Linked DNA regions of Cricetulus griseus. The protein of the gene in region 3 interacts with the protein of the main gene of each other region in a biochemical or structural test. Links are inferred from orthologs where the notes say so. Each region holds a gene or a part of one and is shown on either strand. Other genes may lie near its edges.

Region 1 (4,088 bases), on a different chromosome or scaffold from region 3:
GAATTGGAAGTGAAAAAACTTGAGAAGACAACTGATGAATGCAGACTCATCTCTGGAAGTCTACCCTTCCTTCCTTGGTGACTTTATCCCTCCTTAATGCTCCAAACTGGAAGACTGACTAAAGAGCAGAAAGCTAGCTGACAATGTTTTCAATCGTCAAAGTACTTAGCCTAAGCATAAAAGTTGATGGAGGCATGGACATTTTAGGCTTGTGTTTTGTTTTAACTCAAACTCCTCGTTTTGAGAAGAGCTGTGCTTTGGATATCTGTAGAGCTGTGTGTGGTCTGGAGGAGGCATAGTAACTCTTTGCCATGTATCTAGATAGACAGACTTGGGCTAACCTGTGCAAAGAGTTCTGGGGAGTGTGCAAGCTAGGTTTCAGATAACGATAAAGAGGAGCGAGCTCTCTGGGTCATCAGCTTTGTGTCTTACTTCGTGTTTCATGGTATACAGTTACTGAGATCCACCCAAGGAGCTGATGTTCCAAAGACATGTCCCTAAGGAGGAGTGAATTTTTCTTTTATATTCAAAATGTCTCTCCAGTCTTTATCTCTTCTGTTTACCTCTGGGGCTCATGTAGTAATGAGGTTTAATATAATGTATTAATATGAGGACTTAAAACAAACCTTTTAGTAGGAAAACTATTTCAGTGTTAGAGCCTAAATATAGATGTGTATTAGCATCAAAGTGAAGAGACCTTTTTCATCACGTGTGTGTGTGTGTGTGTGTGTGTGTGTGTGTGTGTGTGTGTGTGTGTGTCCCAGTACTTTTTAGGCAGAGGTATGCTTCTGAGAGTTGAAGGCTAGCCTCATCTACATAGCATAGCAAGTTCCAGAATGGCCAGGTCTATATAATATGACTTTATCTCAAAAAAAAAAAAAGTCCCAGTAGTTTGTTCACAGCTGTGGAAGCTTTTATCTCTCTCTCTTCCTCTCTCCTCACTACCACCCCCTCTTTCCCAAGCTATTTTAATGCAATAAGAAAATGAAAGTCAAGTCATTTCCACAGAAAATGAGAGTGAATACTTTCACAAAGAGCTTATGAAAGAATCCCCCCTCAGTTGGCTGAGATATAAGTTAACCTGCTGAAAGAAGTTAGTTCTAGCCTTTGGGTGTGACCCCTGAGCTTATTCTACAGGCAAGAGTGGGATATTCTCTGTCTCTCTGTCTCTCTCTCTCTCTCTCTCTCTCTCTCTCTCTCTCTCACACACACACACACACACACACACACACACACACGCACACACACACACAGGGAAAGGAGGGAGAAGAAAGAGAAACAGACAGACAGAGACAGACGCACACTCAGAGAGAGAAGAAGGAAGAAGAAAAGAGACAGACACACACACAGGGAAAGGAAGGAGAAGAAAAACAGAGAAATAGACAAACTCTCTCTCTCTCTCTCTCTCTCACACACACTCTCTCTCTCTCTCTCTCTCTCTCTCTCTCTCTCTCTCTCTGGATTTTTTCTGTCTCTAAGTACTGTCCACTAAATTAAAATGTATTTAACCATAAAGTGCAATTTATAAAACCTTATTGGTCTACAGATTAAGTCTCAAGTCCCTTGACATTGTTAGCATGAAGAAGGCTGGCATGAAATATGATTGCTTTGATATGAAATGTCCCAGACAGCAAATTTATAAAGACAGAAAGCCAGATGAATGGGGCTTAGGGCTGGCACACAGGGGAGCAGTGTTTCTTTGGGGTGGAGGCAATGAAAATATTCTAGTTTTTATCGTGATAGTTGAACACCCCTGAATGTTACTGAAAGCCATCAGGTTGTGTGCCTCACAGTGCATCTGACAGTGTGGGAGTCATGTCAGTAAAACTACTCAAGAGAAAATTACCAATCATGTTTAGAATGTGAATTTTTAAGAGCTTTAAACAAAGTTGAAAAACAGAGAACACTGAATTTCTTCTTGGAAAGCCCTAGTCATGATTTTCCCAAGTCTTCATCTACATAATGAGGAAAACATGCTATCCCTCTGCCATCAGGTTTGTAAGCTAGTGTCAGTACACACACACACACACACACACACACACACACACACACACACCACACAGAAACACACACCACACTTGCACACACAGAGACACATATACACACTGCACATGCACACAGACACATATACACCACACACACACACACACACACACACACACACACACACACACACACTCAAAAGCACACAAGTGTCTAGCACACCCTGACCTCTAAATAGGTATTTGTTCAATTACTGTATACATTTGTCATTTTTAAACTGACCCATGTGACTCATGGAGGCATGAGAGGCAGCTATGTACCTATACAAAGGCTTCCTTAAACCAAACAGAAAATCCCCGGGAGAACAGGACAGGTCAACAAAAACCATTTTTGTCAGTCACACTGAAAACTGTGCTAACCATCTAACCCCACTGCCACCACCACCAGACATTGAACCCAGGACCTCACACATGGCCAATGCTCTACCACTCAGCTACATCCCCCTATAACTACCTTTAGAGTTGTTAATCAGATGCATCACTGCTAAAATCTTCCATCATTTAGATTTGAAAAGCAACCTGTGGCTTGCTCTGCCTGTTCCTTCCCCACTCCAACAGTACTCACAGGAAAATTAAATTTATATGTCAAACTCCTCAGTCAGAGATTTTTAACCGAAAAAATCTCATAAACCCTATAGTTCAACTAAATTGCGCATAAAGACATATCGAACCTATTTTTAATATATGGCTAGATTTTTTTTTAAAGGTTAAAACAAAACCACGCATCAAATCTTACCTGATCTCAGAAACAAGAGAAATAGAAGGACTACTTCCTTGTGGTCCATGTTGGGACTGGCCAACAGCACCTGGAAAACTGTCCCAGTTGGCTTAAAAGGGACCAAAGGCATGGACAAGGAAGATAGTCCAATGGGGTTAATGATTCTCTGAGGCCCCTGCCACTGTATGCAGAAGGAGCAAACATTACCTCGAATAGGACGCTTACAAAATGTTTGAGTGTGGAGTCCGCAGCAGATGTAGAGGTGGTGAAAATGGCAACTCCCCCACTCTGCTGCTCTTCACTGTTTGACTTTCTCCTCCTTGGCTGGTCACCTCACCCAGCCACCATGTTTCCCATTTCCTTTCGGTTCTTTCCCTCTTCTTCAATTTCCTTGTCTTGGCCTTCAAGAAGGAAATCGTGAAAATAACGTATGTTTGCTGAGTGCCTTCCATAGCCAGATTCTGGCAAATGGTCCATACCCAACCTCATTTGACCTTCCCAGCAATCAGCTGGACACTGTTCCCATTTCCATTCCCAGATGAGGGACTGGGATAGCATGTGGTGTCTCAATGCATGTATTACATAATATTTATGAACTTGTTTTCCAGTTTTTATGTTGTGAGTAACCATTGTTTTTTTGTTGTTGTTTTTCCGGTGATCCCTCACCTGTATTCCAGCCCTGCTGTTGAACTAATCAGTGGATTAAGTTATATTATTTTTACAAAGCTGTCATATCCCCATCCCTTTTGAATTTAAGCACCATATAGCCTCTCTCCTGGTGTGTTTTATTTCTTGATCGGCCTGTAGGGTGAGACTCAGCATGCCAGACAAGAACTGTACCATGGAGAGGTACCACTAACCAGGTGGGCAGTGTTGAGATCGCATTGAGGGCTGGAGAGATGGCTCAGCAATCAGGAGCACTTACTGCTGCTCCAGAGGACCTGAGTTCAATTCCCAGCACCCACATCAGACAGCTGGCATCTCCAGCTTCCAGGGGGTGGGTCTAATGTCCTCTTTTGGGTTTTGAGAACACACACACACACACACACACACACACACACACACACACACACACACACGTACGTTTTGAAATCATCTCTCACTTCCACTTTCATAATATCCTTCCAATGTGGTCCTTTCCTCCATCTGAACTCACAGTACCATGGTAACACTCTCACAGCATTTAGAGAAAATAATAGGATTCAGTTGCAAGAGTATCTTTTTGTTCTTTGTTCTTTTTGTTTGTTTGTTTATTTGTTCGTTTGTTGAGACAGGGTTTCTCTGTGGTTTTGGAGGCTGTCCTGGAACCAGCTCTTGTAGACCAGGCT
Region 2 (3,958 bases), on a different chromosome or scaffold from region 3:
CCTTCACCCACCGCACCACCTTACCAGTCCTAGCTTATTTATTTGGTAGATTTACTTTTATTATTCTTAGTTCTGTGTATGGGGGTGTGTATTGCATGCCTGGTGTCCAGAGTCCAGAGGACAAGCCCCCTGCAACAGGAGCTATAGGTAATTGTGAGCCACACTCGGGAACCGAGGTCTCCTTTGGGAGCAGCAGATGCTCTTAACTGCTGAACTGTCTCTCCAGCCCCTCTGTGTTTTCTGAGACAGGGCCTCACTCGTTGCCTGGGCTGTCCTTAAATTCATGACAATCTTCCCGCCTCAGCCTCCTAGTTCTGAGACCTAACTGAACATGGGTTTTAGGGGACAGAAGCCCAAAAGGGCCATCTCACTGATCTCTTTTTGTACAACGTGGGGAACGTGTCTCCTGCTGTGACTTTGCCCTAGCTTGGTAGCCAAGTCCCCAGGAGGTGCCCCTCACATTAGATAGTGGCTTTGCTCTACATTCTGTGGCACTGACAACAGACACCAGACCCAGCAAACAAAGCAAATGCTGCTTTTATTGAGAGCTGTCCCTTGAGGTTGACGGCACTGGGAGGACAGGCAGGTCCTAGTCATTGCTGCTCTCAGGGTCTCTGGGGTGGATATGGGGATGGTTGTCATGGCTTCGGATAATGGAATTGATCCAGTCTGCAAACTCAGCCACAGGCGCGAAGGCATCTGGGAAAAATCCAGACCCACAGCCTCCGCGGATGAAGGAGTCGATGCCTTGGACAAGCCCGTTACAGACCAAGGGTCCTCCAGAATCCCCCTGAGGAGGTGTCAAGGTCAGAGACTGGCCCTCTCGGCACCCCCTTACTCATGCTCCAGCACTGGGAAGTCATCCCTTGGGTCTGACCACAATCCCTTCTACTGCAAAAGGGAACTTACAAAGCAGATGCCTGCTCTCCGTTGTGGCACCAGCGTGCATACATTCAGACGGTTGCGGCAGAAATTTGTCACCACGGTCACATTGAGCTCTTGGAGCACATTGGGTGCCGGTCGGTTCGTGCCCAGCCTGCCCCAGCCCATGGCCAGGCATTGAGTTCCATTAACCACGCCACGGCCCTGGGCAGGCAGCTGGGCCACCTGCACGTTGGTGTTAATGGTGGCTGAGCCATTGAGCTGAGGTGAGGGACAGTGAGTAAGGGAGAGACTTAGAACACGAAGAAGTCGCAGGGCACTTTAGACAATGGCTTAGTACCCTGCCACCAAGTGGTGGGGATGGTTAGGAACTGGAGGAAGAAATGAATATTTCCCCCAGCCGCGTGTTGCTGGTGCACACCTTTAATCCCAGCACTCGGGAGGCAGAGGCATTCAGATCTCTGTGAGTTCGAGGCCAGCCTGGTCTCCAGAGTGAGTTCCAGGACAGCCTCCAAAGCTACACAGAGAAACCCTATCCCTAAAAACCAAAAAAAGAATATTTCCCCCAGGTACCCCAGAGTCACAGAGTCAGTGAGCAGAGAAGCGCAAATAACAGGAATTTGTTGAACACTGCCCTGAACTTTCCATATATTAGATCTTATGAGCCATCACCATCAGGCCTACAGGACAGCTATTCCCACTGTGCTCAGTGGGAAACAGGCTCAGAGGCAATAACTGAAGTTGCCCCACTGTGTCTGTGCCCCATTCCCCACTCCCAGAGCCTTCCGCACTGCACCTTTCTCAAGCCTGAACTCCAAGACCTTTGCACCTGAGTCTCAGGCTCCCGGACTCCCAAGCCTACCTGGATGATCACAATGTCGTTCACCAGACGAGTGGGGTCAAAGCCATTCTCGAAGATCCGCTGCACAGAGAAGATCTGTCTAGTGGGCTCCTTTCGCCGCAGGTTGTGAGCTCCCAGCACTGCCTGCACTGACCGGATGTTTCTGTGGACAGCGGAGAGGGGAGGAGTATGAGTGGGAGCCCCCACCTGACCTCTCTGGTCTGGCCCATGTGGACACTGAGGATTGAGAGGGACGAAGAGGGGACTCACAGGCCATTCACACAGTGGGCTGCTGACATGAGGAAGTTCCTGGCGATGAGCGTGGCACCACAGAAGTGACCTCCACGCCGCTGCAGGGACACCATGAAGGGCCAAGCATGTGCCTGGGCTGGCCGGCCACCCACAATCTCTGAGGCCAGCACCGGGCCTAGGGACACACGGGGAGGAAGAATGAGCCCCAGCCACCAAGTTGTTTGAACCCCCAATGAGAACTCACAATGTTGATGAGGGAAACTGAGGCAGAGAGGAACAAGAACCTGCCCAAGGTACTCCTGTACTGAAGATCCAAGCACCTCCCTTCTTTCCTTACAGTGTTCTGGGCACTGCAAAATTCCATGTCTTTTTCTAAAGCCCTGGGAGAATTAGGAAAGACAATGGAGATGACAAAGGTCAGTGTGGCCATCCTCACTCACCACCCAGGAGCAAGGCCAGCAGCATGGAAGCAGGAAGCCGGCTGGATGATGGGCTGGGGGTCATGGTGGGGCTATGCTCTGGTGGCTCTCCACAGCCCTACCTAACAGCCATACTTATAGCTGCAGCCAGAGGCCGTTGTATTGCCCCATGCCGGTCACAGCCCCACTTCCTCCCTGAGGACAGGACAATGTGGGTGGCATGGAGAGGCGTGCCCCCCCCAGGGTCTCCACTCAACTTCATACACGCTGCTGAATATCAGTGACAACTGAGCAAGCCATCTTTTTTCTCTCTCTTTTTTTTTTTTTTTTTAAAAAACAGGACCTCAGGGCTGGGCAAAGGTGGCTCACACCTTTAATCCCAGCACTCAGGAGGTAGAGGAAGGCAGATCTCTGTGAGTTCAAGACCAGCCTGGTCCACAGAGATCCACGACATCCAAGGTGACACAGAGAATCCCTGTCTCTAAAAAACCAAAAATAAAATAAAATAGGATCTCAAATAGTCCAGGCTGGCCTCAAACTCTTAATTCCCCTGCCTCCACCTCCTGAGTGCTGGGATAACAGATGTGCATCTCCAGGCCCAGTTTGGTGCCCTGAGGCCCAGCCAATCCCTCAGCCTCAGCTTATTTACCTAAGCATGGTAATAACAGCAATACATAATGCATTGCGTTGTCAAAGGCTCGGTGTCAGCATGACTTTTTCTTGGGGTGACAGAGAATGGATAGCTGGATTCTTAATTAAGTCAGAAAACTTGAGGGACATGGAGGCTCTACACACCCAGTGACAGGTGAATGTGTGTATGTTTGAGACAAAGTCTCACTCTGTAGACCAGGCTGGCTGGAACTCACAGAGATCCACCTGCCTCTGCATCCTCAGCACTGGGACTAAAGGTATGGGCCACCATGCCCAGCACAACAGGTCATTTAAACTTGGGGTGCACACTGTAGCACCTTAGCCCCTAATTTGATGATTGCTCCTCACAATGGGGAACACAGTCCCACCTGACCCCATTAATGCCTGGGCACCCATGAGAAGGAGTTGCTGCCCTTGACAGTGGCCAGAGTGTGGGTTCCAATTTGGAACCACACAGGGGGAATGCTCTCCTCCAACAATGGAGACAGGACCCAGGGCCCAGCCCCCCTACTCTGTGGCCAGCTCCCCTCCCATCTCTTCCAGGAGCTGCAGCCAAAGCTGTTGCAAAACCAACGTCCCAACTCCAGGACAGGGCATGGGGGGATGGAACCCAACGGACATGGGCAGGTGGCCAAGATGCTAAGGCCCAACACCAGCCAGGCTGGAGACCTCTGTCCATAGGATCCTAGAGGGACAGCTGCCCTCTCCCTCCCTCAAGCTGGTCACTGCTTGCAAGGCTCATTCAGATACATACGAACTGGACTGCCTTCCTTCCACACAGTAAGTACCTACTGTATGTATACACCATCCCTTGTCATATGGCAAGGGGTTCGGGGCAAACAATCTCAGATTAGAAGACCAGGCCTCACCACAGCTGTACTTATTGAGCACCATCTGTATACGATGCTCATCC
Region 3 (4,004 bases):
CATTGAACTCCTTGTGGCCTCCTAGTTCTGGGCAGGTGCTGCTCCAGTACCTAGTGCCAGGTGAGAGAGTGCCAGGGCCACACTCAGGGGTGACAGGATAAGGTTGGAGCTGGTAGATGTTTGGGCCACCAAGGAGAACAGGTCAGCAGTGAAAGCCATCATGGCCTGAGCCAGCCTGCGAGTCTCCTCTGCAGTTGGGGTACTCTTGCAGTTTCCTGGGGACCTCTCCAGGATAGTGTGGCCACTGAGATCCTACAAGAAAAGACCAGAGGTCAGTAAGGTCAAGGGGCAGCCTCGGATTCTCTGTGCCTCCCTCACAGTCTGGGTACTAGAGGGCTGCAAGGCCTTGTCCCAGATCTGAGGGGAGAGGAAGAGTCATGCTGGGGTCATTCCTACCCCATCCCTTTTGAACCCCCAACACCAGTCCCATGACCACGTCTCCCCTCCCCCATTCCCTTACTCCTGCTGATTGGCCCTCCTCCCCCTGGCCCACCTGATTGTACCTGTTTACCCAACTTGAGGAGGGCGAGTGGGGGCAGCTTCTGCTGGGCCTGCTCACTCATTGGCTTTAGAAAGGAGGAAATAGGTGGAGAAATGGGGGACCTCTCCATAGGTCCCTGCTTTGCCCAAGACATAGGTGAGACCCTTGGGCTCTTCCGCCCAAGCCCCCCAAGTACCTGCTGGCTCGGGAGATCCATGGCACTCACAGGGGAAAACTGTTGAGAAGAGGGTGAGCAGAGGCAGAAGGTTCCTCAGAGCCAACCCCTCCCTGGGCTCAGCATTCCTCCCTCTCTACCCTCTGGCCTCTCCCAAACTTGCCCCTCCCCCACAGCATCTTCCTCAACCCAGACCTCAGCCCAGCCTCACCATGGAGCAGGGGCTTTGCAGACAGGACAAGCCAAGTACCAGGAGCCCCCAGAGCAGTGCCATGTTCCTGTATCCGGGACAGGGAGGGTTAGTTCCCACTTCCCACTCAAACATCAGGCAGCAGACTGCTACCCATGGGCTCCCTGACCCCATCAAGATACAGAACTTGGACCCACACCCAAGCATATTAGCTGTGGTCCTCATCCTGAGAAGTGGGATTCCCATGATTTCTTTCCACTCTTGTAGTTTCTCATTTAGTCTTCATTCTCTAGGCCTCACATTGTGGATCAGACCTGGGTTTAAATCTGGCCTCTGCTTCTTCCCACAGGACCTTTGGTACTTCCCTTAATTCTTTTGGGTTTTAGCTTGTCTTGTAAAGTCATGGCAGAAGTCCTCCCTCCCATGTAGAGATTGAGGACCAGAATAAGAATCTCTGTAAACCTTGAGTATGATGGCTGGCTCTCAGTGATCTGTATCTGAGAAGGCTTCCCACCCCAGAGAACCCATCTAACCTGTTGTTCACTTCATCCAGTCTTTCTCAGACTGCCCCAGTCCTACCCAAAGGCCCCAAGGGCTCAGCTGGGGTGGCAGGGCAGCCAGAAAGCAGCTTTGTTGACCTAGTAGCGGAGCCCAATGAATGACTGGCCCAGATACCTTTGGACTTACGGGAACCACAAGCCTTATCCCAACTCTGTCCCCCAATTCTGCTCCAGGGTGCTTTGGGGAAGCCAGACTGGTGGAGGGGTCTGTGCAAGTCTTAGTCTAAGGCCTCCAATAAAGATTTTCCTATCCTCAACCCCTACCTGGGCCTTATCTCCTAGCCAGCTCTTCTGGAGGGTCCCTCTGTTACTCCCCAGCCCCCACCATTACGTCCAAGAGCCTTCAGCCAGGCCCTCATCTCCAACATGGATATGATTCTGCCTGAAAAGAACAGGCCTTTAGGTTTTGAGGTTCTAAAGGGACTTCTGGAACTGCCTGCACTTCTGCTCCTCAACACCCCAAGACACTGTGAAGCTGCAGGCTCCCTGAATCAATTCAGCCAGACCCCTTGCCCAGGGGCCCCTCCGCATCTCCTCTGCTGCCGGAGAAGGCTGCACCACCCTTTGATCCTACCTCTTCAGGCTTCTTGCTCCAGCACACGATGTTCTCCGGGACCCACTTGCTCTCCACACTCTGCCTGGTGCAGCCAGCCTGGCCTAGCTCTCTCCTCCCACAGGACCTTTGCTCTTAGCCAACCCCCGTTCAGCCTGCCTTCTCTGCTGGTAAATATTGACCTGCACATCCGGTTAAACATTGATATGGGGGCCAGAAGCCCCTTTCCCATCAGGGCTGCTAATCCTAAGACAGCCACCCAGAGCCTGGTTACAGGAGCAGACAGTTGAGGAGGTTGGGTCTGGCCAGGCAAGAGGGTAGCTCCAGGATGCTCAGGGGCCTGGCAAGCCTTCTAATGACCCTTCAGCATGGGGATTATCCATGGTCAGTTAGGCTCAGAGAGTCACAATCAGATTCCTGTTCCCAAATTCCTGTGTTCCCACCACCGTCACCACAACTGTCCCAGGCAAGGGAAGGCTGCAGGAACCTGCAGCAAGCCCAGGATTCTGGTTGGCTACCTTTAGCATGGGCCAAGGTAAGGGGTGGAGAAATAAGACTCAGCTGGAGGCAGGCCATCCCAGGGTACCACCTCTTCAGCATCAACATTCACTTTCCCCCAAGGATGAGCCATCTGAAAACTTGCCGGAGGCCACCCAGACCAGAAGCCCTGCATCCATGGCAGCCAGAGGACAATGGCTCCCTCTCTACCCTCTGGCTCTGCTCTTCACAGGCCTGGAAACTACTAGGTCTTGGCTTTTCCTAATCTTACCGCCATCAAGATAAAGTGGTGGGCATGATGATACAAGCCTTGTATAACAGCACTTGAAAGACAGAGGTAAGATGATTGGGAATACAGTGTCAACATCAGCTACATATCACATTCAAGGCCAATAGTTTGAGCTCAAAGACCTTGTATCAAAAAAAAAAAAAAAAAAAAACCTGGGCATAGAGACTAGAGAGATGGTTCAGTGGTTAAGAGCACTGGCCGCCCTTGCAGAGGATCCAGGTTCAATTCTCAGCACCCATATGGTGCACATGGTGCTTCACAACCATCCACTAACTCCAGTTCCAGGGAATCTGATGCCCTCTTCTGACCTCTGCAGGGTCCAGATACACAAATGATGCACATGCATACGTGTGGGCAAAACACTCATACACATAAAAAAAAGTATGTCTTTAAAAGTTGGGCCTAAGACAGGCGTTGGTGCCGCATGCCTTTAATCCCAGCACTCGTGAGGCAGAGGCAGGCAGATCTCTGTGAGTTCGAGACCAGCCTGGTCTACAAGAGCTAGTTCCACGGCAGCCTCCAAAGCCACAGAGAAACCCTGTCTCGAAAAAAAAACAAAAGTTGGGCCTGGTGTTATGCCTATAATCTCAGGACTTTGCTTCAGGCAAGAGAGTCATCCCAAGAATGGTCTTGGGATGGTCTCAATCATGGTCTTGGGATGGTCTCAATCTGAGACCAGTTCAGGCTGGTCTCAGATTGAGACCAGCCTGAACTACATGAGACTATCTCAAAAAATCAAGGACAAGCCATAAGCCAGACATGGTGATACCCACCAGTAACCCCACCTCCTTGAAAGGCTGAGGCAGACTGCTTGAGCCCAGCTTAGGTAAAACAAAACACAACACAGCCTCACTCAGCTCCATGGCTCTTCCAAAGAATTTATTGATCATATTTACATGAATTGCAAACAGTGAGGAGGCAGCAGGGGCCACATCTCAGACTGCTTCTCTCCTCTAAATGGGGACTCAAGAGATGCCAGGATCTTCCCTTCTCCTGGGAGGGACCTGAGATGCAGAGATGATTCCTGTTGCCCCTTCTCCCCAGGGGTGCTGGCCCCAAGGGCTGCCTCCCTGGCTCAAGGCACAAACACTGTGGTTAGGGGCACCAAGGCAAGGCATGGATTCATTTCTGGACCAGCTGGGGCCATGTAACCTCTTCTCTGGCCCTGCTTCCCCTTTCCCCCCTTTTTCTGGTCCCACACTGGGAAGACCTGGCAGAGTGGATACTGAAACCCCAGACAAAGCCCTTAAACTCCTGG

What was found.
Region 1: the proteins of Serpinf2 (region 3) and Plg form a complex in vitro, tested with the Homo sapiens proteins (2 studies listed by BioGRID, with this or other methods). The link is inferred for Cricetulus griseus from reciprocal best matches to the Homo sapiens genes SERPINF2 and PLG.
Region 2: of the proteins of Serpinf2 (region 3) and Elane, one has a biochemical effect on the other in vitro, tested with the Homo sapiens proteins (2 studies listed by BioGRID). The link is inferred for Cricetulus griseus from reciprocal best matches to the Homo sapiens genes SERPINF2 and ELANE.

The regions. Positions count from the first base shown.
Region 1 is NC_048595.1:288,618,362-288,622,449, forward strand, and holds the start of Plg (plasminogen), read right to left. Parts: upstream 2,828-4,088; coding exon 2,779-2,827; intron 1-2,778. UniProt on the Homo sapiens protein: Plasmin dissolves the fibrin of blood clots and acts as a proteolytic factor in a variety of other processes including embryonic development, tissue remodeling, tumor invasion, and inflammation. In ovulation, weakens the walls of the Graafian follicle.
Region 2 is NC_048598.1:100,684,956-100,688,913, reverse strand, and holds Elane (neutrophil elastase), read right to left. Parts: upstream 2,480-3,958; coding exon 2,416-2,479; intron 2,151-2,415; coding exon 1,994-2,150; intron 1,887-1,993; coding exon 1,745-1,886; intron 1,144-1,744; coding exon 910-1,143; intron 791-909; coding exon 590-790; 3' UTR 542-589; downstream 1-541. UniProt on the Homo sapiens protein: Serine protease that modifies the functions of natural killer cells, monocytes and granulocytes. Inhibits C5a-dependent neutrophil enzyme release and chemotaxis. Promotes cleavage of GSDMB, thereby inhibiting pyroptosis. Promotes blood coagulation.
Region 3 is NC_048600.1:88,885,876-88,889,879, forward strand, and holds the start of Serpinf2 (alpha-2-antiplasmin), read right to left. Parts: upstream 2,801-4,004; 5' UTR 1,093-2,800; coding exon 868-1,092; intron 717-867; coding exon 678-716; intron 567-677; coding exon 504-566; intron 253-503; coding exon 51-252; intron 1-50.